7 linked regions of the Ovis aries genome follow. The protein of the gene in region 1 interacts with the protein of each later gene in a biochemical or structural test. Links are inferred from orthologs where the notes say so. Each region holds a gene or a part of one and is shown in the gene's direction. Other genes may lie near its edges. The genes, in order: TOPBP1, RHNO1, MDC1, TICRR, ATRIP, RAD9A and E2F1.

Region 1 (4,283 bases):
AGAACCCCATGAACAGTATGAAAAGGCAAAATGATAGGATACTGAAAGAGGAACTCCCCAGGTCATTAGGTGCCCAATATGCTACTGGAAATCAGTGGAGAAATAACTTGAGAAAGAATGAAGGGATGGAGCCAAAGCAAAAACAATACCCAGCTGTGGATGTGACTGGTGATAGAAGCAAGATCTGATGCTGTAAAGAGCAATATTGCATAGGAACCTGGAATGTCAGGTCCATGAATCAAGGCAAATTGGAAGTGGTCAAACAAGAGATGGCAAGGGTGAACATCGACATTTTAGGAATCAGTGAACTAAAATGGACTGGAATGGGTGAATTTAACTCAGATGACCATCATATCTTCCATCTTTAGACATTTTAAAAAACCAAGGTACAGATCATTAAACTCTCAGGTTACTCAAATCATGATTTTCTCACTCCCAACAGTCAAGAATAAAATGAGGAGAAACGCTGACCAAGCAGTTTTTCATTGGCCATCAACAAGCCAGAGGTCCTACAATCCTATTTCACCTCCTCTCCCCACACCTTTGCCATTTGAACATTAGGTTCCATCCCACAATCTGCCCAACACTTGGGAAGCTACAGAGAAAAAAATGAGATGCTCACGGGTTGGGGGTAGCGAGGTGGGAGTAGCGAGGTGGGAGAATAGGGTGTTAGTCCTGGAGGGCACTACTGAAGTTGGCAAAGACCTCCTACGCACCAGGCATGTCATTCACGTCATCCTGACGTCTTTCTTTTCTTTAGACCCTTGGCTGTTGTAGCTGGTGAGCACATTTGGGCTATACTGGAGGAAAATAATCCAGTCCACCAGTCCATGGAGTCAAAAAGACTTGGGTGCAGTCTTAAACTTCTACCACTTACTGTGACCTCGAACACTTCATTTAATTTTCCTAAGCCTGTTTTTACATTTGTAAATACAAATCAGTATTCGCCTCCCAGAGTTGTTTTAGGTAACATATGGTGTCTCAGCATAAACTATTAAAGAAACCCTCTTTTACCTGTCTTTATTTTTTGATATGTTAGGGTCTGCTCTGAGGCATCAGTCCCCAACATTTTTTGTCACTAGGGACCGGTTTAGTAAAAGACAATTTTTCCCAGGGCAAGGGGAGCTCGGCCGTTCAGAAGGCAACGCGAGAAATGGGGAGCGGCTCTGCTTCCACCACTAACCTTCCCTGGCCCTGGAGTTGCGAACTCCTGCTCTAAAATACCTCCGACCCGCCGCCCCAAAGCCCTAGCCCTCAGCGCTTCGCCAATTCCCAGCAAAGGTAAGACCCGCCCTTCCAGCTCCTGAGCCGAAGCTTCTGCCACAGCCTTCCGGGAACACCTAAGCCTCCGGGTGGGAACCAACCAGCACCGCCGCTTTCTTTTGTCTCCGCCCTCCCCCGCTGCAGTTGTCGTAGCGTCACTTCCGCCGGAAGGGACGGGCAAGACCGCGCGGTTGGCGCGAAAGTCGGTTCGCGGTTCGGCAACTTCCGGGTCTGCGTTTGCTTTGGTTGGGGGCGCCGCTGGGTGCGGCGGGTGTGCGCCGGGCTGGCGCCCGACCCCAGCCGCAGTCCCGCGTGCCGCGCGGCCCCCTACTCGCGGCCCGGAGATCCCCTGCCTCCACCGAGGTGAGTGAAGCTCAGAGTGAGCACCCCGCTCCCTCCCCACCTCGCAAGGGGGAGGGGTCCTCGACGCCGCCTCTGGCCTTAGGGGCCCTGGATTCCGGACCTTGTAACCGGTCCCCGGACCGGTGGATGGGACAGCGGAGAGCACGTGACTGGGGCAGGACCGATAATCGGACTTTCCCCTGGCAGCTGCGAAGCGAGAGCATCTAGCCTTTTAGGGCCCTAACTTTAATGGCTGGCTTTCATGTTTATATGTAAAGTTCGTTTACTGAGGGCTTAACCTATCTTGAGGGCCGCAGATGACCTCAGGGACCTAATCGTTCTGAGCATTCTCAAGCTAAATGAAATTGAATGACCATCGACTTAGGAGACTTAGAGCTCCAGAGCAAAAGTCCTCGATGAATTCAGTTTAGCAACATTAATTTCGTATTTTGATTTACGAAGACTGGTTGTTGTCATCTTTTCCCTTGATTTTGTCCACATTCCACTGTTTCTTACAAACCATAATGGACGAATTCATGGGCAAGACCAGAATGTTTGTCCTTCGACATTCTTATTTGCACAGAAAAGTAGGTGCTTTAAACATTTAACTTTGTACGTAATGTGTTTTTACTCTTGTTAATGGTTCCTTTATTTTGACAGTTCAGAAATGTCCAAAAATGACAAAGAACCGTTTTTTGTGAAGTTTTTAAAGTCTTCAGACAATTCTGAATGTTTTTTTAAAGCTCTTGAGGTAAGACTACTTGACAATGTCTTGCTGTGAATTCATTTTCTTGTTTCTAGTGTTTTTGACTTAGGCCTTTTATGTCTTAGTCATGGTTATTTTATTTTCATAATAGTTTTACTCTAGTCTACATTCATAGATACCTCATTATTAACACACTCTTGAATTGATATTAGTATATCATGTATTTTGGGGGGATTGAAATCTTTACTGACATTTATATTGAAAGTGATGGGCCTGGTAGTCTTAGAAATTAAGTAGTTTTCTTTTGTCTACTAACCATAGACCTTTGTGTGTTGAAAAAACTTGAGGCAGTCCTATATTGGTTACACTTCATTTTTTGTTTTTGTTGTTGTTAATTGTTAAAAGTATGTTTCATTATATAGTTTCATGTGGGAGGATGTAGGGGTAGTGTCTCCCCCAGTAGCATCACCGTGGCCTGAGAAATTGGACCCCAGCTCAGACTCACTGATTGGAATCTACTTTTTAACAAGATCTTATGTATGTTTAAGAAACACTTGTAAAAAAAAAAAGAAAAGAAAGAAACACTTGTAGCAGGTTTTTCTTTTAAGTTCATTCAGCAAATAATTGTGTTCATCATCTGATAAGCACTGTTCAAATACGTGGGATACATTTAGATAATGAGAGCAGGCAAAGATCCATACTTTCTCAGAGTTTACATTCTATTATAGCTATAGGAAATAAACTAGTCAGATATATCAGTGTGTAATATATAGTATGTTAAAGCTGCAAAGTGCTGTGGGAGGAGAAATGCAAAACAAGTTAAAACATTCCAGAAGATGTTTGTTAAGGAAGAAGGGAAGTTTACAATTTATTTTAAATATAGTGTGATATTCTCTGTGGAGAAGTTGATATTTGTAAATACTTGAAGGAGGTGAGATAATGAGCCATGTTAATATGTGGGGAAGGTTTCAGTTTCAGGCAGAGGAAATAATCATACACAGGCCCTGGGAAGGTGCTTGCAGTGTCTGTCCTGCTTTATTGTGGCTGTAGTGTAGTGTGAACAGGAGATGTGGGATGAATGCTAAGGTTTGGTTCAGAGAATAAGAATAAAGAGGTCATGAGGGCCTTGTGGTCTCTTTTAAGGACTTTGGCTTTTTCTTACGGTGAGATGGAGAGCCACTGGGGGAGTTTAATCAGAAGAGTATATGATCTGACTTAATCGTTTTAAAAGGATCACCCTAAGTATTTAATGAAAGGACTTCAGAATTTGTTAAGAAAATATTTGAGTGCTTATTGGGAGCCAGGATATGTTGCCAAACAAGATAGATCACAAAACATTCTTCTTACAAGGGAGAGAGACAAAAACTGTGTATATATGTATATATAATATTATGTATGCTATATATGCTAGTATACATAATACTATATCTATGTTGTTTTCTTCATAAAATAGGGAAAGAATATTTTAGAAAAGTGTGATCAGGAAAAGCATCTCTGAGGAAGTGACATGTGAGCAGATGTGGTTGAAGTGAAACAAGTCAGGTGAAGTCCTGGGGGAAGAGTGTTCCAGGTAGCAGTGGGGGGGGGGGGGGGTGCAAAACCTCTAAATGAGGTCATACTTAGCTTGTTCCAGGTCTGGAAAGAAAGCAGGAGTGGCTAGAGAAGAGTGAGCAAAAGGGATTAGAGGAAGAAGTAAGCATGGGGAGACAGAGACAGGCAATGGCCAGACTCTGTGGTCTTATAGGTGATTGTAAGAAATGAAGATTTTATTTTGAGTGTGGTGGGAAGCTGCTGGAGGTTTTCAGCAGAGTGATATGACCTGATTTGTATTGTTGAAAAGATTAGTAGCTGCTGTGTGGAGAATAGATTTAGGGCAAAGGATGAGAAGGAACCCCTTTGGAGACTCCTGCTCAGGCCACGTGAGAGATGATGGTTCCTTTTGATGGGAAGAAGGCTGGATTTGAGATGGATT
Region 2 (3,945 bases), on another chromosome or scaffold:
TAACTTCTCTTCCAGAACCAAGACTATAATCCTTGTCTCCTGACTAGTGCTGTGCATTAAGGACGAGTTTTATCTTTTAAAAATTGTGTGTTGTTGATTTTGACAGATCCATGGCATACTCTACCATTGTGCGAAGTAGTGAAATTCTGCTGAGAGGTACTTTGAGAGACAGAGTAACTGTCTGCCTCTTCTTTAGAATATCTGCAATTTCCCTAGAAATGACTGTCACGCTCGTCTGATATTTGCCATCTGCTTCGAGGTCACAGACCCTTTCCACTCTGCCGCCTCCCTTCCCTTTATATCTAGGTTTCCTCTACCTTCAAATCTCAGTTTTACTTCCACCTCCTATCTCTTCCGCCCTCCCTTCCTCCCTCCACCCATCAAATCAGTAGATGCTAGTATTTCTTCCTCCCCCCCAGAAAGATATTTTCCTGGTCTAATGCGTCTTAATTTTTCCTTCTACTCTGACCAGCTTACTTGCTACCATTGCCAGCACTTTCTAGCCCGGAGATTTCCGAGGCGGCTCCCGGGGACTCACCCCTATCCAGACCAGAGCAAGGCTGCGGGGGTCTCCGGAACCCGGAGGAGGGTCCTGGGACAGGGCGGAGTGGAGACTGGGTTACCTAGAAGGAAGAGCACCTGGGCTCAGGGGAGTATGCGAGCCGCGGCAACCAGCGCAGTAAGCTTAGAAGGACCCCAGACCCAGATGAAAGGCTAGGGGGGCTCAGTGGGAGAGGTGAGGGGGGGTGGGGGGCCGGGAGGCTGGATGCAACAGCGCGGCGCACTGTTGCCAGTCCCCCCAACCCCCCGGCTGGAGCCAGCTCTCCGCGCCCGCCGGCCCCGGGCCTCCAGCCCGCCGCCCACTCACCTCGCTGCACCGCCGGCTCCGGGCGGCTCGGCGCTGCTCCGACCTGCGGGCCGGGCCGCGACCCCGGCTGCGGGGCGGGGAATCCCGGGATCCCGGCGGGGGAGGGGAGGGGGGGAGGGTGTCCCAGGCCCGGGCCGGGGGTGGGGTCCCGCTCTGGGGCTTTCAGTTTGTTCCGCTGTTTGAAATTGGCGCCGGCGGAGCGTTGCGGTCACGTGACGAGCGTGACCAATCAGCGCCGGCTTTGTATCCGCGTTCGGCCGGGACGCCGGCGGCGGGCGGGGCTCCGGGCCCGGAGGGCGGGAGAGGCGGGCGTATCGGCGGCGGCGACGGCGGGACGGGCAGGTGAGGTGGCGCCGCGGGGCCGGCGAGGTGGGCGGGCGGATCGTTTGCTTCCGCGGGCAGGCAGGGCGGACTGATCGGCGGCGGGTGAGGCCGGTGAGACGGGCAGAGCGGAGTGCGGACCGGGCGGCCGGGCCGAGTGGCGGCGGGTGGGGCCGAAGGCTCGTGGGGGGAGGGCGCAGGAGGGCTCCGCGGTGGCGGGACGCGAGGGACCTCGGGGGACAGTAGGGACCCCCGGCCGCCCCGTGCTCTCCCACCGTCCGCCCCGTGCTCTCCCCGCGTCCCCGGTTCCTCGCTGCGGGGGTACTGTCCGCCGTCGACCTCCCGGGCAGCGAGCGCCCTGGCTCCCCGAGCAGCCCGAAGGGGGTTACGACCCCCTCGCTCTGGTTCCCTCCTTCTTAAAAATGACCGCGCACGCCGCGGACCTTCGCCTCCGCTTGGAATCTTGGATCTCTGATCTCCCGCCCCGTCCCTCGCAGTCTTTTCTTTGTAGTGATGGACTTTGTTTTCTTATTTAGCACGTTTTTAGTTGAGCGTCGGCCATGTGCGGGGCGGCTCTGGGATGCAGTGGCGGGGCGAGATGCGGTGGTTTTTCTCCCGAGCTTGCAGTCTGTAGGGAGGTAAGAGGGGCTCACACGAGCTCCCGTCGAATTGCATATTTAAGCAAATGAAGAATTACTACTGTGAAGTGATAACAGCTCAGGGATAACTGAGTATGTAAATAAGGAGATCTTGCCTTAAGTTAGGTGAGAAAGGCATTTCTTTTCTTTCTTTCTTTTTAAAATATTTATTTGTTTGGCTGCACCAGGTCTTAGCTGTAGCCTGGGGCATCTAGTTCACCCGGGCCCCCTGCATTGGGAGCGCAGAGTCTCAGCCGCTGAACCTCACCCCCCGCCTCCCCCAGGGAGGTACCCAGAAAGGCATTTCTGATTAACTAAAGCTTGGTCTGAGATCGGATGCCGTTATGCAAACAAGGGAAGGAGACACTCCAGGACAAGGGAATTGAGGGGGTACAAAGACGCTTACTCCTTGGAAGGAAAGTTATGACCAACCTAGATAGCATATTGAAAAGCAGAGACATTACTTTGCCAACAAAGGTCCGTCTAGTCAAGGCTATGATTTTTCCAGTAGTCGTGTATGGATGGGAGAGTTGGACTGTGAAGAAATCTGAGCGCCAAAGAACTGATGCTTTTGAACTGTGGTGTTGGAGAAGACTCCTGAGAGTCCCTTGGACTGCAAGGAGATCCAACCAGTCCATTCTAAAGGAGATCAGTCCTGGGTGTTCTTTGGAAGGAATGATGCTAAAGCTGAAACTCCAGTACTTTGGCCACCTCATGCGAAGAGTTGACTCATTGGAAAAGACCCTGATGCTGGGGAGGGATTTGGGGGCAAGAGGAGAAGGGGACGACAGAGGATGAGATGGCTGGATGGCATCACGGACTCGATGCACGTGAATCTGAGTGAACTCCGGGAGTTGGTGATGGACAGGGAGGCCTGGGGTGCTGCGATTCATGGGGTTGAAGAGTCAGACAGCACTGAGCGACTGAACTGAAGGACCACATGACAGGAGGAAGCAAGGGCAGCACAAAGGCTGAAGAAGACATCTGAGGGGTTTGAGCTAAGGGACAAGGGTGGACTGTGGGCGATGACACTGGAGCCAGAGCAACAGGGCCTCAGCCACCACGGAGGAGTTTCCTTCTTGCCCCAAACAATTGTTTCAGACAGGAGGGAGTGGAGATCAGCTTTGCATTTCCAAAACATTCCCCTGCAGGGGGTGCCAGAGGTTAGGGTAGACCAGTTAGACTACTGCATTATCCCAGGCCATAATTATTGGAACCTGAAGGGTGGTGGAGAGAGGGAGAGAAGGGTAGGGTAATAGTATTATTTTTCACACAGGAGGAATGCTTTTATCAAATTTTGAGTTGCATCTAACAAGTCTCAAAAATAGATTGCCATTGATTGTGATCCCACATTTAATCCTGAACTATATCACTGAATCCCACACATCTAAGCTCCACCCCTCCACAAGTATAATTGTCATAGAACATTATGTTAGTTTTAGGTGTACAACATAATGATTTGGTATTTATTATACATTGCAAAATGGTCACAGTAAGTCTAGTTACCACCCGTCACTGTAGTGACAAAAATCTTTTCCCTTGTCACGAGAACTTTAAAATATATATATATATTTTAATGTATTTGGCTATGCTGGGTCTTAGTCGCATCATGTGGGATCTAGTTTCTTGACCAGGGATCGAACCTAGGCCCCTGCATTGGGAGTGTGGAGTCTTAGTCACTAGACCACCAGGGAAGTCCTGTGATGAAAACTTTTAAGTTTATTTTCTTGGCAACTTTCAGATTTGAAATACAATACTGACTATAGTGACCACAGTGTATGTTACATTCTGTGTGTGTGTGCTAAGTCGCTTCAGTCGTGTCTGACTCTTACACAACTATAGCCCATTGACTGTACATGAACTGTAGCTCCATGGACTGTAGCCCACTTGTCTCCTCTGTTCATGGGATTGTCCAGGCAAGAATACTGGAGTCGGTTGCCATGCCCTCCTCCAGGGGATCCTCTTGATCCAGAGATTGAACCCACATCTCTCTCTTACATTTCCCTGCATTGGCAAGTGGGTTCTTTACCACTGGTGCCACCTGGGAAGCCCCATATTACATCCTGCTGCTGCTAAGTCGCTTCAGTCGTGTCCAACCCTGTGCGACCCCGTAGACGG
Region 3 (3,963 bases), on another chromosome or scaffold:
TACTGGAGCTGGTTGCCATTTCCTTCTCCGCGGAATCTTTCCGACCCAGGGATCGAACTCGTTTCTCCTGCGTCTCCTGAATTGGCAAGAGAGCTGTTTACCTATGAGGCACTTGGTTAGATGATAGCAAGGTGTTAATTCACACTGGATTCAACACACATTTCTCATCTTCTAAATAAAAGAACATAAATTTCTGTAAAACTCGTCTACCCAGTTAAAATGTTTATGTTTGAAGGCACAATCACAGTGAAAGTAGTTATTTTGTGGTAGTGAAGAGAGTTCAGAATTCACGATTAAACAGTTTCAGTTTGTCTCTAACAGCCGTAGGAGCCTAGGCAAGCTAACTTCCGCAGAACTCTTATTTCTGGTCAGAACGAAGTGAGAATACTAATGCAAAAGGTCCTCCTAAATTATTCCTGTGAAATTGTCTTAGTATGAAATTTAGCAAAATAATTTACCATTCTGTAGCCCTTCAAAGACCTCGGTCAGCCTTTAAGATGGTTAACAAAAGAGTTCTCTCCGTTTGCCTAGATATCTTTACTCTAGGATAATGACCTCAAAGTGTCCATCAGGAATGGATTCTCAGGGAGGAAATGACATGACTTCTAGATGAGCTAAATCAAAAGGAAATGAACTTCCATTGTAGTGAGTCCTCAAGCGCCACGCCTACGGGCTATTCTCCAGACTGAAGTCTTCAGCCACGACTGCAGCCCGCAACCCTTATATTTCTCATGAGTCAGCGGACACCATTTCTGGGAGGACCAGAGAAGGCGCTCTGGCCGCACTACATGCTTAGGTCGACGACTGTGGTAAGCCCCTCTATCCGCTGCTGGCATCCAGACTCTGTGGTCGCAACTTGGAAATATACGCGGGAAGTGGGTGGTGAAACCGCAGTGGGTTGTCCCTTTGGAGCTGCCCAATCGAAGTGCGCTATTCTGTGCGCCTCCGAGGCTTCCGATTACCGCCTCGTCCAACGGATCTGTCTCCCCGGAGAAGCCGCCCCTTTGAGCCGTAAGGGGGCGGGGCGGGGCGGGGGCGGGGCTCCGGCTATGCCTCCGCGTTGGATTGCTCCGTCTGCTTGCCGCAGGGCCGAGAAAGACAAAGGCTTCAGCCAATCAGCTAATCAGCCCCTTCCCCGCTCAGGCACTGGCACCACCCCTGTCGCAGCCGTTACTGGTGGCGCGCGCGGGGACTCAAAGTAGGTGAGTTCTGGGGGGCCTCGCCCACGACTCCCCGGATGCCATCTTGGTTCTCCCGGAGGGCGGGAGGGGCGTGCCTTGGTTACGACTGGGCGGAGGATTCTTGGAAATTTGCTTCTCGGATTATAACCCTCATCTTCACTTGACGGCCCTCCCTGAGTTTAGGTATGAAGACACTGGGAGAGGTTGGGCTCAGAGGGAACCCTTGGGATCGAGATCAAAGTTGAAGGCCCATTGGATTGGAGCCGAAGGTCGTGGGCGCCGCTCATTTCGCCTTCATGAAACGATGTTAACACTTTCTCCATGGAGGTGTCCCACTTTCCTTGTCTACATTTTCCCTTTAAGGTAGCATCTTTCAAATTTAATTCCCACCCATACTAGTTTGACTTTTCATCTTATTATTTCATCAGGAGAGCAGAGTTAATTTTACGTTTGACTCATGAATGTATTCGAAATATCTCTAATGGTATCAGGTACACAGTAACTACTGTTGAATTAACATGATGGACCCTTGGGGAAAAGACAGTTCTAACTGGTCCAGTTCTCAAGGGGGATGTGTGAGGCAGAAATGGAATGTAATAGTTACACTATGGTGAGACCTATTAGGATAATATAAGTCCACCAACCACCGTGAAACACTTAGGATACATGGGAAATAGGGGAAAGTACCAGAACACAGAGAAGACTAAAGGCAAGGCTTTGCTTCGAAAGTGACATTTGAGCTAAAAGGATGGATAGGAGTTGGATCACAACACTAGGGGCAACGTCCTAAGGAGCTGGCTAAGGCCTGCAGATGTGAGAGAACGAGGACAGTGTGTTCAGAGATTAAGGAGAAGGTCCATGTTGTAGAACCACAGGCTTGGACGGGGTGGGGATGGGACACACATTTCAGGAGATGAGGTTCTGATCGTTGAGGGTCTTGCTAAGGAGTTTAGATATATTTTATCCTATGGGTATGGAAAACCATCAAAGAATATTAAACAGGAAGAGACATTATCTGAGTGAAAGATACTCAGTCTTATCTGACTCTACAGTCCCTGGAATTCTCCAGGCCACAGTACTGGAGTGTGTAGCCTTTCTCTTCTCCAGGGGATCTTCCCAACCCAGGGGTTGAACCCAGGTCTCCCGCATTGCAGGGAGATTCTTCACCAGCTGAGCCACAAGGGAAGCCCCATTATCTGAGTGATCTTAGACAAATCTGTTACTCCATCCCTGTTGCAGTTTCTTTATCTGAGAAATAGAAAGTAAAATAAGGAGTTTTCTGGCAGTCCAGTGGTTAGGACTCCGTGCTTCCACTACAGGGGCAAGGGATCAATCCCTGGTTAGGGAACTAAGATCCCACATGCTGTGTGGCCTTAGTTGGGGCATGTGGGCTATAGTTCTCTAACCCGGCGTTGCACCCTGGCCCCCTGCATTGGGAGCACAGAGTCTTAGCCACTGGACCGCCAGAGAAGTCTCTCAACTCAGTTTTTGTTTGTTTGTTTTGTTGGTGTTCTGTGGGTGGTTTTTTTTTTTTTTTTTTTTTGGTTTTTTGGCCATGCAGGATCTTAGTTCCCTGACCAAGGATGGAACCTGCACCCCCCAGCAGTGGAAGTGCAGAGTCTTAGCCACTGGACAACCAGGGAAGACCCTTATATTTCTGTACTTGGAACTCTGTTACATTTCTTTCTTATTCTGTGTCATGGTCAGAGATATTTCTTAAATGCTTCAGAGGAATAACAACAGAATGATTGGCAGAAAGAGAAGCATCAGCCTCCATAGCTATCCAGGAGACTGCAGTAACCAGTCTCCTCCCTGAGGCTGTGTGTGTGAGCCACTGAAGGAAGGGATAATGTGTTTTTTTCTCAGATCATGGAAGACACCCAGATTTTAAACTGGGAAGTTGAAGAAGAGGAGGAGGTTGCAGAGAGCCCCAATGAATCTCTGGGGTATAGCTTGGAGCCCCTAGCACAGCTGCATATCTTCAGTAGTTCCTATGGACCAGAAAAAGGTCAGGAGTAATTTCATGCTAAAGTACTGGCCTCTTATTTCTGTGGGGAGGTAATAGGATGATTGCAAGCTTAGATATGCATTTGTGAGATCTGGAAAAAATGTCTTACTGGGGACATTATTATTTGGGAAGCCCAAATTTTATATATATTTTACCACAATAGAAACAATCCAGTGTAGATGGATGGAATGTTGACTATGAATAATGCATTGCACATATTCTTTATTAGCTAGTTATTCTAGGGCCTTTTATTTTTCTAATGCATGAGGGGGACCTTGAGTGAGTCGTGGGGAACTTAACAGATGTTTTTCTTAATAGCAAGTTAGGAGTATGGCTTTGGAACTCACCTACCTCTCTAATTCTTAGACTTCCCACTCTACCTTGGAAAGAACATGATAGGCCGAATGCCTGATTGCTCTGTGGCCCTGCCCTTTTCATCAATATCCAAACAACATGCAGTGATTGAAATCTCTGCCTGGGACAAGGCGCCTGTCCTTCGGGATTGCGGGAGCCTCAATGGCACTCAAATCCTGCGGCCTCCTAAGGTCCTGAGCCCTGGGGTGAGTCATCGTTTGCGGGACCGGGAGTTGATTCTCTTTGCTGACTTGCCCTGCCAGTACCATCGCTTGGATGTCCCCCGGCCTTTTGTCTCCCGGGGCCCTCTAAGTGTAGAGGAGACACCCAGGGTACAGGGAGGAACTCAACCCTCCAGGCTTCTGTTGGCTGAGGACTCAGAGGAAGAAGTAGGTAAGTTTGTGTATCAGGAGGGTGGGT
Region 4 (2,752 bases), on another chromosome or scaffold:
GAGTAGTGAGTGCAGTGATACAGAGGCAAAGCATATTTTCACTGTAGTGTGCAAATTATTAAAACAATTTGTCTTAGAAGAAATGAAGCTTGGATACAGTGCTTAGTGCTAGAAAAAGTTGACAAGTAAAATCTGGGTCATGTTTTGGAACTGGAAACATGTCACTGTATGAAATCCAACTTATCATTCCTTTGGCTGATAAGAAACCTCCCACTGGAGTTTTTAATCTTCTTAGAGATCATTAAAACATTTCCGAGACTATGGGTTATGATGTTCAAAGCACTGAAATAAGCATCTTTCTTTACAGACGCCTGAGAAGAGTTACTGGAAGTCTCCAAGTTCTTATAAAGCCACACCAAGAAAGGTCCCTCGGACACCACAGACTCCACTGCACACCCCGGAAAGGCTGCAGAAATCCCCTGCGGAAATGACCCCTGCCAAACAGGTCATTTTTAAGGAATTCTCGAAAGACTTCTCTCCACATGGCTGGGATTCACCATCGCAACCAAAAGTCACCCCTCGGAAAGGACACTCCCTGGCAGAAGGTGCCTCTCCTCTTGAAAAGGTACCGAGAACTCCCCAGAGACAAGGTGGCCAGCCCCCCAGATTTTTGCAGAATTCTTCTTGGCCACGCTTGGCGGACTCCAGTCTGGAAAGCACCTCCTGTCCAGCAGCCCTGGTTTCATCAACTGCCCAGACCAGGAGTGTCTGTCTGACCCCTAGCAGATCCTCTGCTCAAGCACCTCCCAGGACAGCAGCCTTGGGGCTCCAGAGACAAGCCGCTTCCGAGGGCACATCTCCAAGTCAGAAACACCAGCCCCCCCGAGGCTCTGGAGCACCCCAGGCAGAGAAGCTGCCGCAGCCTTGCAGTAACAAAGCTGTCAAAACCCCAGAGAGACCAGGGAACGCAGCTCTGACTTTTCCAAAAAAAGCTATTACCTCTCCTTCACGTGGTATTTCCAAAAAGAGTTCACTTGGGGAATTTCCCATGGCATCTCCTTCGTCTGGACAAGTGGGCTGGCAAGAGGTCCAGAAATCACCCAGCATCACCACACCTCCCTCCTGTTCTGCTCCCTTGACACCCCCCAGTGCCTCACAGGTAGCTCCGTCTGACCTCTGGCCCCCTCCGCCCCCTTCCAAACATGGGAAACGGCATAAAAAGACCTCGGGAACAGAACGAGACTTCCTGGAGGGCCAGCCTGACAGCTTGGCTGCTCTGAGGGTTGCCATAACTGACAACCCAGCTGCCATCACAGATGCTGGAAAGAACCAGAAGGCAGCGACCCTCTCTTCTCCAGCTTCGCCTGAACTTCCACCTTACCCTGGAACTGGCTTTGGGAGTGACTGGCATACATCCTCTCCCTTGCTTATTGCAACAGACTCGGACTGTCTCACTCTCCTGGATGAAGCTGAGCACCATGGCCATGATAACTTAAAAAGCAGCATTTCACCCCTGGACGAAGATGAGGGGTTAAGGATGGGTACATGTGAGAAGCCGTCTCCGTGTGACCCCGGGATTCCTCCCACCTCTCCTTCCTCTGAGTCCCGCTCTCCCCTGATGCCCCCCTACGACCTGCACTGCATGGCAGACACAAAGCAGCGCCAGGCGGCCACGCAGCTAGAGGACCAGCAGGCTTCAACCTGGCCCTGTAGAGCCCCTGCCAGCTCGCAGGCCTATGAGGTTGAGCTGGAGATGCAAGCTTCTGGCCTCCCCAAGCTTCGAATTAAAAAGATAGACTCCAGCTCTTTGTCAGAAGCCGAGCCCCCACCAAGGGAGGAGAGCTCCCTCCTTGGTCCCAGTGTGCCCAAGGCCAGCAAGTCCTCAGGCAAACCCGAAGCCACCTGCCTGTCGGCCCCCTGCCTTCGTCCCTCCCATAGCACCCCAGGCAAGAGTGGGGGACAGACCTATATCTGCCAGTCATGCACCCCCACCCGCTGCCCCTGTGGTACCCCCTCTCCGTTCCAGACAGAGGTTGGGGTTCCTTGGACCCCATCCCCCAAGCACAGTGGGAAGACGACTCCTGACACAATTAAAGACTGGCCCCGCAGAAAGAGGGCGGTGGACTGCAGCCTCGGCCCCTCTGCTGGGAGGAGCGAGGTCAGTGCCGACCTTCCCGGGCGACTGTCACCACTGGAGTCAGAGGGCAAGGAGCGAGGCCTGGAACTTGGCATCGGCAGACCCCCCATCCTGGGGGATTTTGAGCTAGAGGGCGTGTGTCAGCTGCCAGACCAGTCGCCTCCCAGGGACAGCGCGCCCAAGGCTGAGGAGGCCTCCTGGGGACAGTTTGGGTTGGGGTCTAGGAAGAGATGCCTCTCTGCTAAGGAGGAGGCTGAACGACAAGTAAAGAGGGCCTGTGACCCGCAGGGAGACTCGGAAGAGCAGTCTCCAGGCACAAGCATTCGCCAGTTGCCCTCTGCGGCAGACGACGAGGCGTCCGTCCCAGGTGAGTTTGCTGTGTCGAGCTGTGTGGGCATGGCGGCACCAAGGGGATGCGGCGGGAAGGCTCGGGCTTCATTGTCGGGGCCGTGGGCTGCACTGACCGTACCATCGCTCCAGGTGCCACCCCGCCTCCCGGCTGTGCTATGCGGAGCTGCCTCTCTGCCAGCGGGCTGCAGGCGCTGACCCACTCTCCACTGCTGTTCCAGGGGAAGACACCCTCCTCTCAGCGTAAAGACGCCAGAGGTAATTTGTTGGAGATCTGTCCTTTGGTTAGCTCGATCTCAAGTTACCTCCGGGGTTTTCAGGCAGTTG
Region 5 (3,500 bases), on another chromosome or scaffold:
TACTGAGATATTTATAGCATGTGTCTTATAGAAGAAACACAACATCATAATGGTTGCTATTTTCATTAAGTTTTGCAAAAAAGCAGACATCTTTCATATGACTATCTATAGGTCCCTAGGACCTTAGGAATGTGCATGCAGAAGTGACAAGTACGTCCTTAAGCTATTTGCTGAAAACCTGCTGTCCCAGGAATGGACCTAGCAGGTCATGGTCTGGTTGGCATGGATGTATTCTGAGCTCTTATTGATCCTTTGGACATGTTTTAAATGTGTTTCTTCATCTCCCCAGCTACATATTGAAATAAGTGCATATGTAATTTTCCCTTACAAACCTTTCACAAGATCAATTTGGAATTTCCAGATGAAGGCAATGGAAGAAGAAGTGCTCATTAAAAACGGAGAAATTAAAATTTTGCGGGACTCATTGCATCAGACAGAATCCATTCTAGAGGAACAGAGAAGATCTCATTTCCTTCTTGAGCAAGAGAAAACTCAAGCACTCAGTGAAAAAGAAAAGGAATTCTCCAAAAAGGTGACCCAGAGATATGTTTTGCTTGTATGGACATCAGCTTTGCCTGCTTACTGATTTCCTTTGGAAGCAATGCCTAAAGTTGCTTATAAATCTCCCAGGAAGATTTCAGCAGTTGTTTGTTGAAAATACTTTTGCCACCAACTAATTATATGTACTTTTCTTTGAGGCTCTGTGGCTTGGAAAAGGACATAGATGAAATTCTGCTTTGCTGTGGTTGCCTAAGTCACTGGCTAACACTTTGCAGAAACAGGCTTAAATTATGCTTTTTTTTTCTTTTGGGCAGATCAGAAACTCAACTGACCTAGCTTAGGCCAAACAAACAAACAAAAAAAGGACTGCCTTCTGTAACTAAGTCTGGGGAAAACAGATGTACTGCAGTCTCAAATGACTTGAGATTTACCAGGACTCATCTTTATTCTCTGTACTGTTGATAAATTCCATCCTTATGGCTGAGGATGTTTTCTCTAGGAGCTCCAGGGCTCATATTTCACAGCTCCAGAACAGACTGAAGACTTAGAGGTCCTCATCTCAAGTTTTAAAATTCTGGGGAAGGCCCTAACTGGTCTAATCTGAGTCAGGTGCGTGGCCCGGAACTAGTCACTGGAACCAAAGAGATAATAGCTCCCATTCAAATCATATATTCAAAGGCAGGAAAATGATGTTTCTTAGGGGACGGAGCTTCTGTTGTGGGGAGAAAAACTGGGTGCCAGGTATATAGTACTTTCCTTCACTTCCCAAATAAGGACATGGGTTTTACTCTGCCATTACATCATTCAGCAAACTTGGTAATCTTTGAAGAAGCGCTGACCTGTGCCTAACACTAACAGCAGTAGTTGCTTTTCCATATGCATAGTGACCAAGGGAGGTACCAACAAGCCAGAGATTGAAGCCAGGCTTTATCACATTCAAGCGGTGGCCTCAGGGCGATCAGTCCTGCACTATGACTCATCTCCTTTATCTGTTCCCGAAAATAACCAGAAGAGTTGTTGTGAAACTTAAATGGTCCTGCACTTGTGTCTGGTGCCATGCCTGGCATGGACCATGCTCAGGGAATGGCAGCAGTTACTGTCGGCCAGAGCAGCAGGTCTCCCCACACTGCTCAGGGTTTTGGTAAAACTATTCCAGATTCTCAGCCCAGAACTTCAGGAAGACCTGGATTGTGTACCACCATGTTCCCTGGGGGCTCAGGGGTAAAGAACCCACTTGCCAGTGCAGGAGCCATGAGTTTGATCCCTAGGTCGGGAAGATCCCCTGGAGGAGGAAATGGCAACCCATTCCAGTATTCTTGCCTGGGAAATCCCATGGACAGATGAGCCTGGGGGGCTCCAGTCCATGGGGTCGCAAAAAGTCAAACACGACTGAGCGACTAAACCACAACAACATGTTCACTACAAGGTCTCCATGTTACTGTGAGATACTGCACCTTAGCAAGCTTTGTGCTGGGCATTTTACAGTTACATTCTTACTTAATCCCCCCAATCATGAAGACAGGTATTTATCTTACACATCAGCTGAAGTTCAGAGAGGCCGAGTAAATGGTGTTTGAATTCTCACATACCACCTAGCAATAAGCAGGTCAAAATATCTTTCTAGAATACCATGCCATCTTTCAGTAAGAAAGCTAAAACTTGATATTTTAGGACATTTATGTCACAGCAGACTTTTATACTATTTCTCATTGTTTGTTTTTCTTTTACTAGCTGGAGATTTTTGAAGCCCAGAACTATTTTTTATTGGTGGTGGTGGTGGGATCCTTGTTCCTAGACCAGGGATCAAACCTGGACCGCTTGCATTGGAAACATGGAATTTTAACCACTGGGCTGCCAGGGCAGTCCCCCAGAGCTGTTTCTGTAAATGTGATGAGACCTCTATATTTCTTTTGCCTTCCAGCTCCAGTCCTTGCAGTCTGAACTCCAGTTTAAAGATGCAGAGATGAATGAATTAAGAACGAAGCTTCAGAGCAGTGAACGAGCTAATAAACTAGCTGTACCCACCGGTTCCCACATCAGGTAATGATGGCGCTAGCGGGGGGAAACAGTTATCGTTTCCTAAAAAGTCTGAATGACAGTATCAGGCTAGTCGTGAACAAAGGTCATTTAGACTCTGCTACTGCGGCACAGATCCTCTTTTCCAGAGACCTCAAAGGTGGTTCAGATGAGGCTGGAATGGTTTGGGGGATTGTAGCATAAGGGTCCCACATTCTCTGAAAGTGCCTTCTTCCTGTAGGACTTTATAAACACAACTCCTCAGGATGAGAAAAGGCTGGAAAGATGACCTCTAGAGTTTTAGGGTAGACCAGTCTTCGTTTTTATGTAATTTGTTTCAGATACGTGATTTTCTCCCAACTGTATGTCAGTCCCAATTGCTTAGAACATTTTTTCTCATTTGCTGCCCAATGGCCCCCACCTTTGCTGCAGATATAAGCAGTTTGTTAATGTCTGTCCTGTGAGAAGTCTGTCAGTATCAGCCTTGAAACTTGAACAGTGTGAGTCAGGTCGTCTTTTTCTGGTTTTCAGCATTCTGCTGCCTTTGCTTATAATGGGCAGGGTATGAAACTGAACTCTTTAGGCCATACATAGTCCAGGTAAGACAGAGGACAGCAGAAGGAATCCATCCTTACCTCTTCACACTTTACTCACAGGACGGCCTCAGCATTGTCTGATCTAATCAGAGGCTTAAGACTGCTTCTCTAACATAAAAACCCTGGTACCAAGGGACCGGCCGTTTCCTAGTTGCAAGAAACAACACACCTCGCACTAGATGCTCTTTCTACCGAAAATCTTTTAATTCAGTCCCTGGGTATTAAAAAAGAGGTTGTTGTAAACTAGTGGTTACAGTGGGGAGAGGGACAATATAAGGGAAGGGGAGTAAGAGGTACAAACTATTAGGTATAAAATAAGCTACAAGTATATACTGCAAACCAAAGGGAATGTAGCCAATATTTTATAATAACTATAAATGAAGTATA
Region 6 (4,207 bases), on another chromosome or scaffold:
ATGGGAGAGGAGGACCAAGTTGCCATCTGTTTAGGAGGCAGAGCGCTCAGGCTTGCTGAAGGATTGCAGTATGTAAGAGGTGGGTCAGGATGGAGTCAAGGATGAGTCCCAGTTTACTGACCTAAATGCCTGCGTAGAAGTGGTACCATTTACACTGACCCCCTTAAAAGGCAAGAATAATCTCCCCCAGTAATCCAGGGAAACCTGATAAGGGAGGAAACCTGACGTAAGGAGAGGAAGTGGAGTCCAGAATTGCAGACCAGGAGCAGGAGGGTAACGGTCCCACAAACGTGGCTTCCTCACTGGCAACACTGCCAGAGGAGCAAGGCCCTAAAGGAACGCAGGGGTGCCCAAGGGTCCCTCAAAGCACACCAGGTGCTGCAAGAAACCAGAGGCCAGGAGCCCCTCCGTGACTTGCCCTCCTCTTCGCACACCTGCGGACCGAGGCTGCGGACGAGGGAAGACCTGCCAGGCTGACTGCTGTGTCCCACCGGCGCCAGTCGTGTCGCACCCTTTGTGACCCCATGGACTGTAGCCCGCCAGACTCCTCGGTCCATGGGATTTTCTGGGCAAGAACACTGGGGTGCGTTGCCATTTCCTCTTCCAGGGGATCTTCCCGACCCAGGGATTAACTAAGCCCCTCTTTTGGCACCCTCTCTTGGTCATTTTCCAACGGCCAGAGACGCAGGAGTCTATCCTCATAAAATGTTTCCAGTGCTTTCCATCAGTGACCTTCATCATTCAGCAGCCCTCCTCTCACAAACCCACTTCCCTCCCAACGGAGGGAAGAGCCCCCACGTGCTGCTGAGTCTTGACTCTCGCCTTCTCCTGCTGGCCAAATCTTTCTACCCCTTTTCGTCCGGGGAAGCTTCTGTTCTTTGGGATCAAAGAAGGATCGTAGAAGCCACGGCGAGCAGCCACTTCCCACCCCGGGATCCTGTAGCAAGGTGCGTTACTATCTTTTCGGAGCTGGCAGTTGCTGCTTCTGTCCGCGTCCCCGGCCCGCCCGGACGGGGTGAGACGGTCTTGCATCGACCCCGTACGCACCCCGCCGGCGCCCGACAAACGTCCAGGAAATCCGTACTAAATTAGTGACCCGGGCCGGGCCCGCCCGCACATCTCCGGATTCCGAGCTCACTGTTCGCTCCCCGACACCCTCTGGGCGTCTCGCGTTCGGGTGAGGGGCCGCGGTGGGGCCGGCTGCCCGCCGTGCTTCACAGGGGCGCTCGAGGGCCGAGAGTGGGCCTAGACCGCACGGAGGAACCCGGCGCTCCCGGGTCACGTGACAGGGCCCGCCCAGGGCGCAGCCTCCGTCACGTGACGGCGCAGCCGGCGAGCGTCTTTCTCACGTGACGGAGCTGCCGGCTTGCGGCCCAATCAGAGGGCGGGGGCGGGGCTGCCGGGGGCGGTGCGCGGGAAGGGAACCCCAACCGCCCGGAGCCGCGGGAGAGACCCGGAGCGGATCGTTGAGCTGGGGTCCGGCCCAAAGCCCCCCGCCCGCCCCATCCCGGTCACTGCGGGCAGCATGAAGTGTCTTGTCACGGGCAGCAACGTGAAGGGTGAGTCGGGGCCGGCCGGGGGCTGGAACCACGTGGGATGGCCCGAGGCGCCCGCAAACCGCTGTCTCTCTCCTCCCCGCAGTGCTCGGCAAGGCCGTCCACTCCCTGTCCCGCATCGGGGACGAACTCTACCTGGAGCCCCTGGAAGACGGGGTGAGGAGACCGGGTATGGGGGAATGGCGTGAAAGTCCCAACAGGGAGCCCTGATCGGGGCTCGAGTCTCGCCCCCATCAGGCAGGGTGCCCGGTGGGCACGTTTGCTGAGTTTAACAGGGGCCTCCCCTGTTGCTGGGGTGTCCCTTTGGGCCCTGTCATCTTCCTAGGCCGGTGTCTGAATCGAGAGCCCTTGCCCTCCCTCAAATGCCCAGTGGTGGATGGGGGTGATTAGGTAAAAGGCGTGGGTGCTGAAGGCTGGGTCGCGCCCTTGCTGTGGAAACGGCGGGGCTGACGCCCACTCGGGACTCGGGGAAGGCTTCATGGAGGACACCCCTAATGACTGAAAGGAAAGGGCGGGCTTCTGCAGGTGATGGTGGAACAGAAGCCTTTGGGGCAAGTGCCTGGGCAAAGCTGGCTTGAGGGCTGGGCCCAGCACTGCTGGTGACCACATCTTTCTCCCCACTTTTCCTGGCCCCAGCTCTCCCTCCGGACCGTGAACTCCTCCCGCTCGGCCTACGCCTGCTTCCTCTTTGCCCCCCTCTTCTTCCAGCAGTACCAGGCTGCCACCCCTGGGCAGGACCAGCTGCGCTGTAAGATCCTGATGAAGGTGAGGTGGGTCCCTCAGCAGTGGCAGGGCACTCCCCCCAGGAACCCCTCTTGGCAGTGCAGTTTGCTCTGGAGCACAGAGCAGGTGCCTGCAGGAGGAGAGATGTATACTGGAGCAGTCCGGTGCAGAACGCAGAGCCTGGCCAAGTAGAGACATCCATGGGGGTAACGGGCCATATGGAGAGGGTAGCTGAATCTGCCAGGAACCTGCAGGGAGTAAATGACTCTCAGGTTGGTCCTTGAAAGATACGCAGGTCTTTTGAAGGCATTCCAGACCAGGATAAGAGCACAAATGAAGGCCTGGAAGGGTGCAGATATCTGCATGTGTGAGGGGTCCTTTCCTGGTGTGACAGTGTTGAGCCCATGATGGGCCAGAGCCCAAGGCGACTGGACATGAGAGCCAGTTGGCGGAGGCGCAGTGCTGAGCGGATGTGTTTCCCTCGCCTAGTCCTTCCTGTCTGTCTTCCGCTCGCTGGCAATGCTGGAAAAGACTGTGGAGAAATGCTGCATTTCCCTGAATGACAGGAGCAGCCGCCTGGTAGTTCAGCTGCACTGCAAATATGGTGAGTGAGCAGCTGGCTGATCCAGGGGTCCTTGCGGTGTGGGATTAGAGGTTGGTGAGCCCGCTGAGACCCTGTCTGCCCATCCAGGGGTGAGGAAGACTCACAACCTGTCCTTCCAGGACTGCGAGTCCCTGCAGGCCATCTTCGACCCAGCCTTGTGTCCCCATGTGCTCCGTGCCCCAGCCAGGTGAGCACGCCCCTGGTTGCACGCTGAGCCCTAGGCTTTTCTCTTCCTTCTTTCAGCCTCAGGAGTCAGTTTAAGGAGGCACCTCCTCCGTTTTTCCTGCAGGGTATCTGTGAACCTCAAAGCGTTCATCCAACCCAGTTTGCTTTCAGGGCCTTGCCTGGCCCTTTAAGGGCAGAGGCTGGAGTGAGGAGGGGCCAGATGCTCCCTTATCCCATGTTCCTCTCTGTCTCCTGAGTCTGTATTCTCCACCTCAAAGTCTGACTTGGCTTTCTGACCACTCAGCCCCACTCTGACTCCTCTTTCAAAGAACAGGTCTCCGGCTTGCCCTCACATCTCCTCTGGCCTTTGAAGGTCCGTTAATTTTTGTGGCTCCGGGACTTGTGACCTTTCTCTGACCTGGTCATCCTTCTGGGATGAGTCCCATTCAAGGGCAGCCTCTCTTCCTACCTGGCTGGGTTCTATCCCTGAGGGGTTCTCAGGCCACGGCTGGACAGGGAGGTCACGGTCCTGGAGGGCTGCCTGAATAATCAGCTATAGGAGAGGAGCCATTCTGGGCAGTCACAGGGGCCGTACAAGACCTGGGAGATGGGGAGCCCAGCAGACGCCAAGGTCCCTAGAGAAGACCAGAGGCTTGGGTCCCCTCCCACCTGCCCACGTGCAGGGTGCACCTTGCACTCAAGTAACCCAAGGTCTCACGTTTCTTTGCTTTTGGTAGCCGCAGGACCTGGTAACCTGAAGGTCCCTTTGAGCCCTGACTTTGTTTTTCTGAGTTTTGTTGAAATAGCACTACCTAGGATCCCTTTGGGTAGAGAAAGAATCAATCCATGGTCTGGGTTTTGAGAATTTTTCTTTTTTTTAAAACGAGTGATTGTTTCTCTTTATCTTATGGACAATTTCAAATTCATATAAAAGCAGATGATAACCAGCTTTGTCCCAGTTGTCTTGAGGCAAATTCCAGGTATTATTTCACCTGAAACTATTTACTAGCCTGTCTCTACTAGACAGGGACCTGAGGACTCTTTGTAAGGCGGTGTTCATGCGGACAATGTGGGTCTGGTCTCCCAATCCTGGATGGGCAGGTGCCACCTGCCTGGTTCGGTTCAGCACAAACCGCCTGAACTTCCTGCTGCCTTCTGT
Region 7 (4,277 bases), on another chromosome or scaffold:
TGAACGTACATAAAAATCACCTGGCATGAGAGTAGGGGTTTGCTTGTGAAAATGATGCCTGGGCACTTAGATTCTAAATTGGCAGGGATGGGGTGGGCCCATAGTTAACAAGCACCCAGGTGATTCTGAGACCTGGGACATTCCAGGTAGCCTCCAGTGTGAGCCTGTTTCTTTTTACAGTCCTTCTCTGCACCTACTGTGGACCAGGCCAGTGCTGGGAAGAGGCCCTATTGGAGCTCCCAGTCTGATAAGGAAAGCAGATAAAGAGATCCAGTGTGCCCGCTCAGTGCTGGAACAGAAGTGGGGGTGGACAGTGGAGGAAGCGAGTAACTTCAATACTTGAGTGTTCCCTGGAAGAAGTGATATTTATATGGGGCCTAGGGATCTCATTCTTGACTGCGTCTTAGTGTTTTTTTTTCCCCTGATGGGTCAGTCCCCACCAGATGGCAGGCAAGTTCATAGAAATCATCAAGCCTTTTGCATCTCTGCCCTTAGTGCTGGCACAGAGCCTGGCATAGAGGAGGGGACAGTACTGCTCAAATCAGCTGATCTGAGCAATGAGAAATGGCTGATGGAGAGGTCCCAGGGCCTCCGGATTAAATGCATTTTCATGCTCAGCATACTCACCTCCTCCCTTTGTGAGATCTAACATGGAATTAATAGTGAAAATTCCACATCATGTTGTAAATGCTTGTACCTGTTTCTCTCTTCCCTTTTTCACTAAACTGTGAGTTCCTTAGCGCCAAGAGTCAAGAATGGGGCTTAGAGCCGGCTCTCAAAACGTTTGTTGAACGAGTGAATCAGTTCACGCAGAAGTTGTGCATAGGGTACTGGAGTTTCCAGCTATAGGAGGGCTTGTAGAAAAGCCCAGAGCTGTATTGGTCCAGATATCCCTCCCCGTTTTCTGACAGCTCCCTTTTGCTTGGGCTCTGGGTGAGAGGAATAGGGTGGGCACACGATTTGAAAGTGAACGGCTTTGGTGACGGAAGTTGAGGGAGAAGTGGCCGGAGCTTGGAGGTGGGCCTGAGAACCGAGAAGAGAGGAGGGGCAGTTTCTAGAGATCTGGCCGAGAGTGTCGGGGCCACAGGTGAGAGTTATCGGGGTCACGTGGGGTCTGCTGACGTTGAGATATGCTTAATGGACATTCTGTCCTCAACTTACAGGCATCGGCCAGATGGGGGTGCGTCGGGGAGGGGGTGGGGCCACCACTCCTCGGACAGGGGCCGTCCCCTCTGAGGGCGGGGAGTGCGAACGCGCCTGGCACCGCCCCGACAAAGCCTGCGCGCGCCCCGACCCCCGATTGGTCGTGCTCCCTCGCGCCGCCGCCCCGTCCCGCCCTCCGCCGCCGGACCGGCGCGCTGCAGCCAATGGGTGACGTCGCCGTCGCCTCCGTCACAGTCCGGGCAGCCAATGGTGGTAGCGCTCGGCGGCTCGTGGCTCTTTCGCGGCAAAAAGGATTTGGCGCGTAAAAGTGGCCGGGACTTTGCAGGCAGCGGCGGCCGGGGGCGGAGCGGGATCCGGAGCGGGATCTAGCCCTCGCCTCGGCCTGCCGCCATGGGCCCGCGCCGCCGCCGCCGACTGCCACCCGGGCCGCGCGGGCCGTGAGCGCCATGGCCGTGGCCGGGGCCCCCGCGGGCGGCCCTTGCGCGCCGGCGCTGGAGGCCTTGCTCGGGGCCGGCGCGCTGCGGCTGCTCGACTCCTCGCAGATCGTCATCATCTCCACCGCGCAGGACGCCAGCGCCCCGCCGGCCCCCGCCGGCCCCGCCGCACCGGCCGCCGGCCCCCGGGACCCTGACCTGCTGCTCTTCGCCACGCCGCAGGCGCCCCGGCCCACACCCAGCGCGCCGCGCCCCGCGCTCGGCCGCCCGCCGGTACGGACATCAGGGACACTGGGCTGAGTGCGCTGCCTTGGACCCCTGCGCAGACCCGGGCGGGGCGCAATGTTTGGCCCGGCGGCAGCGGGGGCGGGGGAGGGTGGGCTGAGGCGTCCAGGCTGGGCGGTGCCGAGCCTGGGTTGGGCCTCGGGGCTCCGCCCTGGGGTGCGGGGTGACCTCGGGCCAGTCCTTGTTTGCTGCTCTGTGCTGTGGGCCTCAGCTTCCTCGCCGGAGCAGACTCAATGATAATAATGGTCCACGTGTATTCAGCTGTCGCTGACTGCATGCCAGGCCTTTGGCTGACTTCAAGGCAGCTAAAACTCACATCCATGCTGTGAGCTCGGTGTTGTCACTGTGCCCATCTGAACTGTGCCCAGAGACGGGAAGTGGCTTGCCCCCTGGTCACAAGGCTGCAAGTGGGATTTAAACTGAGGCCTTCTGGCTTCAGACCATAACTTGTGGCTGGGTGGTGGGCATGGCTGCTTGGGGAGGTCAAAGTGGGGTGTTCTGGGACCAGTCCGTAGAAGAGCCATTGAGGAGACCCTCCTTCCTGCCTCTGGGACTGCCAGGTGCAGGCCTGGCCCTCCGGGCCTCTGGGGACAGGCTGCCTGGCTGGGAGGCCTTCTCTGCAGGGGCGGGGGTAACTGGGCCAGCTGCTGATCCCCTCCCTCTGCCTGTCCTTCCATCTGCCACCCTCCACCCTCCCAGGCCCTGGTTGCCATGGAACCTCATTAATCAGGCAGGCAGACCCCCGGGCCCCAGTGGAAGTCCTGGGTGGGCTAGGCCTCTGGGAGCTGGTGAGGAGGCCCCCAGTACCAGGAGAGAGTAAATGCCCCAGGGATATCCCTTGATAAAGTGCTCCCTGCACAGCGAGAGGCTAAAGACAGTTGAGACTAGGGGGCCCAGAGAGGTGTCTGAATTAGGAGGTGGGGGGAAGGAGGGGGCGGAGGCCTAGAGCTTGGTCCTGTGGGCTGCAGGACAGGGCGTGGAGACCAGTTTGACTGGTGCAGCCTGTGGGTAAAGTTAGGGCATGGATGGGCAGGCAGGATGGGGTCTCAGCACAGTTGGCTGAGCAAGTTGAGGCAGGGAGGCAGGGCCCAGGGCAAGGAGGTGGAAGCCCAGCTGCTGATGGAGGCCTGGGTAGCAGCTGGTCCCTGAGACATCCCAACAAGGTTCCCCCGACCCCTTTGGCCCCCTGCCCAGTACATCCTTCCTTCCGGAATCACTGAGATGCTAATAATAACAATAGGAGGCACCATTGTTTTGAGACTGTTTTGTGAGTTAGGCCATGTGCCAAGCACTTTACCCAATTAACTCATTTAACCCTGTCAACAGCTTTCCCGTTTTACAGATAGGGAAGCTGAGGCTTAGAGATGTTAGAACCTTCCCTGGTGAGTCAGCTCATGAGTGGTGGGACCAGACCAGATTTCCTGAGTGGTTAACTGCTGGCATGCCTTACTTCCTGGAGATGCTAATAGAGATTGTAGGAAGCCCAGGGTCCCTTCCTCCAAATGAGTGAGAGGGAGGGAAGTTGCACAGGGTGGGTCCCCTGATTGGTCTCCTATACCCCAGCAACCTGTCCCTGCAGGTACCAGCTTGGAGCCTGATCGAGTAGCCTCCATTTAGCTGATGGACAGGTGCTTAGGCCCAGGTCCTGCCCTTGGGCAATGGAGCTTCAGGCTTAGAGGGACAGCCAGGGACTGGGATCAGGAAGTTTGCCCTCTGCTCCACACCCAGGGTGTCAGGGGCAGCCTCACTGGGTCTGAGCATTCCATTCATTCAGCAGTTGTTAGTGAGTGCCTCTGAGGTTCTAGGCACAGGCACGTAAAGAGCCTCTGCCGTCACAGTACTTAAGGGCTAGTACGTGTTTTCTGCCGTGAGCAGGAGTAGGGCCCAGTACCACCTTGCTGCTGTAGTTCAGAAACATGGGCCCAGCTTTTGCTGTGCAACACCTCCTAACATTGTACCTGTGAGTAGCCACTGGCTATCTGAGCTGTGGCCTCCACTCACCCTCTGCACTAGCATTTGTTTGGGGGCAGTCCTTGAAACAAGCTACAGGCTCAGCTTCTGCACAAGTGAGCATTCATTGAGTACCTCCTGCCTACAAGGCTCTGTGCAATTCAACCATTCCTCCTGGCTCTTCCGGTCCACATCTCCCCTGTTGTCATGGCTCTTAAAAAACAAACTGGATGTAATGCATATTTACTATGGAAGAGATGCGAAAGTTGAGGGGGACAAGATCCCCAGCCCCATCCATTTTTTCTTTTTTCTCTTCCTGTGTTCCGATAGCACATCATCCCCACTTTAGAGACAAGGCAGCAATTCCTCATGGTCCTCACCCTGATACCAAGGTTACTCTTGAAATGGATTCTATAATAATACAAACTGAAGCAGAGAAAGTGG

The links.
Region 2: the proteins of TOPBP1 (region 1) and RHNO1 form a complex in vitro, tested with the Homo sapiens proteins (2 studies listed by BioGRID). The link is inferred for Ovis aries from reciprocal best matches to the Homo sapiens genes TOPBP1 and RHNO1.
Region 3: the proteins of TOPBP1 (region 1) and MDC1 are reported together in a solved structure, tested with the Homo sapiens proteins (3 studies listed by BioGRID, with this or other methods). The link is inferred for Ovis aries from reciprocal best matches to the Homo sapiens genes TOPBP1 and MDC1.
Region 4: the proteins of TOPBP1 (region 1) and TICRR form a complex in vitro, tested with the Homo sapiens proteins (2 studies listed by BioGRID). The link is inferred for Ovis aries from reciprocal best matches to the Homo sapiens genes TOPBP1 and TICRR.
Region 5: the proteins of TOPBP1 (region 1) and ATRIP form a complex in vitro, tested with the Homo sapiens proteins (2 studies listed by BioGRID). The link is inferred for Ovis aries from reciprocal best matches to the Homo sapiens genes TOPBP1 and ATRIP.
Region 6: the proteins of TOPBP1 (region 1) and RAD9A form a complex in vitro, tested with the Homo sapiens proteins (4 studies listed by BioGRID). The link is inferred for Ovis aries from reciprocal best matches to the Homo sapiens genes TOPBP1 and RAD9A.
Region 7: the proteins of TOPBP1 (region 1) and E2F1 form a complex in vitro, tested with the Homo sapiens proteins (4 studies listed by BioGRID and IntAct). The link is inferred for Ovis aries from reciprocal best matches to the Homo sapiens genes TOPBP1 and E2F1.

Annotation. Positions count from the first base shown.
Region 1 is NC_056054.1:256,378,201-256,382,483, forward strand, and holds the start of TOPBP1 (DNA topoisomerase 2-binding protein 1), read left to right. Parts: upstream 1-1,483; 5' UTR 1,484-1,626; intron 1,627-1,795; exon of another isoform or gene 1,796-2,192; intron 2,193-2,265; exon of another isoform or gene 2,266-2,270; 5' UTR 2,271-2,272; coding exon 2,273-2,356; intron 2,357-4,283. UniProt on the Homo sapiens protein: Scaffold protein that acts as a key protein-protein adapter in DNA replication and DNA repair. Composed of multiple BRCT domains, which specifically recognize and bind phosphorylated proteins, bringing proteins together into functional combinations.
Region 2 is NC_056056.1:212,723,284-212,727,228, reverse strand, and holds the start of RHNO1 (RAD9, HUS1, RAD1-interacting nuclear orphan protein 1), read left to right. Parts: upstream 1-1,145; 5' UTR 1,146-1,294; exon of another isoform or gene 1,295-1,303; intron 1,304-3,945. UniProt on the Homo sapiens protein: Involved in microhomology-mediated end-joining (MMEJ) DNA repair by promoting recruitment of polymerase theta (POLQ) to DNA damage sites during mitosis.
Region 3 is NC_056073.1:27,420,074-27,424,036, forward strand, and holds the start of MDC1 (mediator of DNA damage checkpoint protein 1), read left to right. Parts: upstream 1-1,163; 5' UTR 1,164-1,502; coding exon 1,503-1,544; intron 1,545-3,047; coding exon 3,048-3,189; intron 3,190-3,555; coding exon 3,556-3,936; intron 3,937-3,963. UniProt on the Homo sapiens protein: Histone reader protein required for checkpoint-mediated cell cycle arrest in response to DNA damage within both the S phase and G2/M phases of the cell cycle.
Region 4 is NC_056071.1:20,374,774-20,377,525, forward strand, and holds part of TICRR (treslin), read left to right. Parts: intron 1-307; coding exon 308-2,444; intron 2,445-2,557; coding exon 2,558-2,752.
Region 5 is NC_056072.1:51,440,097-51,443,596, reverse strand, and holds part of ATRIP (ATR-interacting protein), read left to right. Parts: intron 1-361; coding exon 362-532; intron 533-2,422; coding exon 2,423-2,541; intron 2,542-3,500. UniProt on the Homo sapiens protein: Required for checkpoint signaling after DNA damage. Required for ATR expression, possibly by stabilizing the protein.
Region 6 is NC_056074.1:41,692,054-41,696,260, forward strand, and holds the start of RAD9A (cell cycle checkpoint control protein RAD9A), read left to right. Parts: upstream 1-1,407; 5' UTR 1,408-1,525; coding exon 1,526-1,559; intron 1,560-1,641; coding exon 1,642-1,712; exon of another isoform or gene 1,713-1,725; intron 1,726-2,192; coding exon 2,193-2,321; intron 2,322-2,768; coding exon 2,769-2,883; intron 2,884-2,970; coding exon 2,971-3,070; intron 3,071-4,207. UniProt on the Homo sapiens protein: Component of the 9-1-1 cell-cycle checkpoint response complex that plays a major role in DNA repair. The 9-1-1 complex is recruited to DNA lesion upon damage by the RAD17-replication factor C (RFC) clamp loader complex.
Region 7 is NC_056066.1:63,140,864-63,145,140, reverse strand, and holds the start of E2F1 (transcription factor E2F1), read left to right. Parts: upstream 1-1,477; 5' UTR 1,478-1,610; coding exon 1,611-1,871; intron 1,872-4,277. UniProt on the Homo sapiens protein: Transcription activator that binds DNA cooperatively with DP proteins through the E2 recognition site, 5'-TTTC[CG]CGC-3' found in the promoter region of a number of genes whose products are involved in cell cycle regulation or in DNA replication.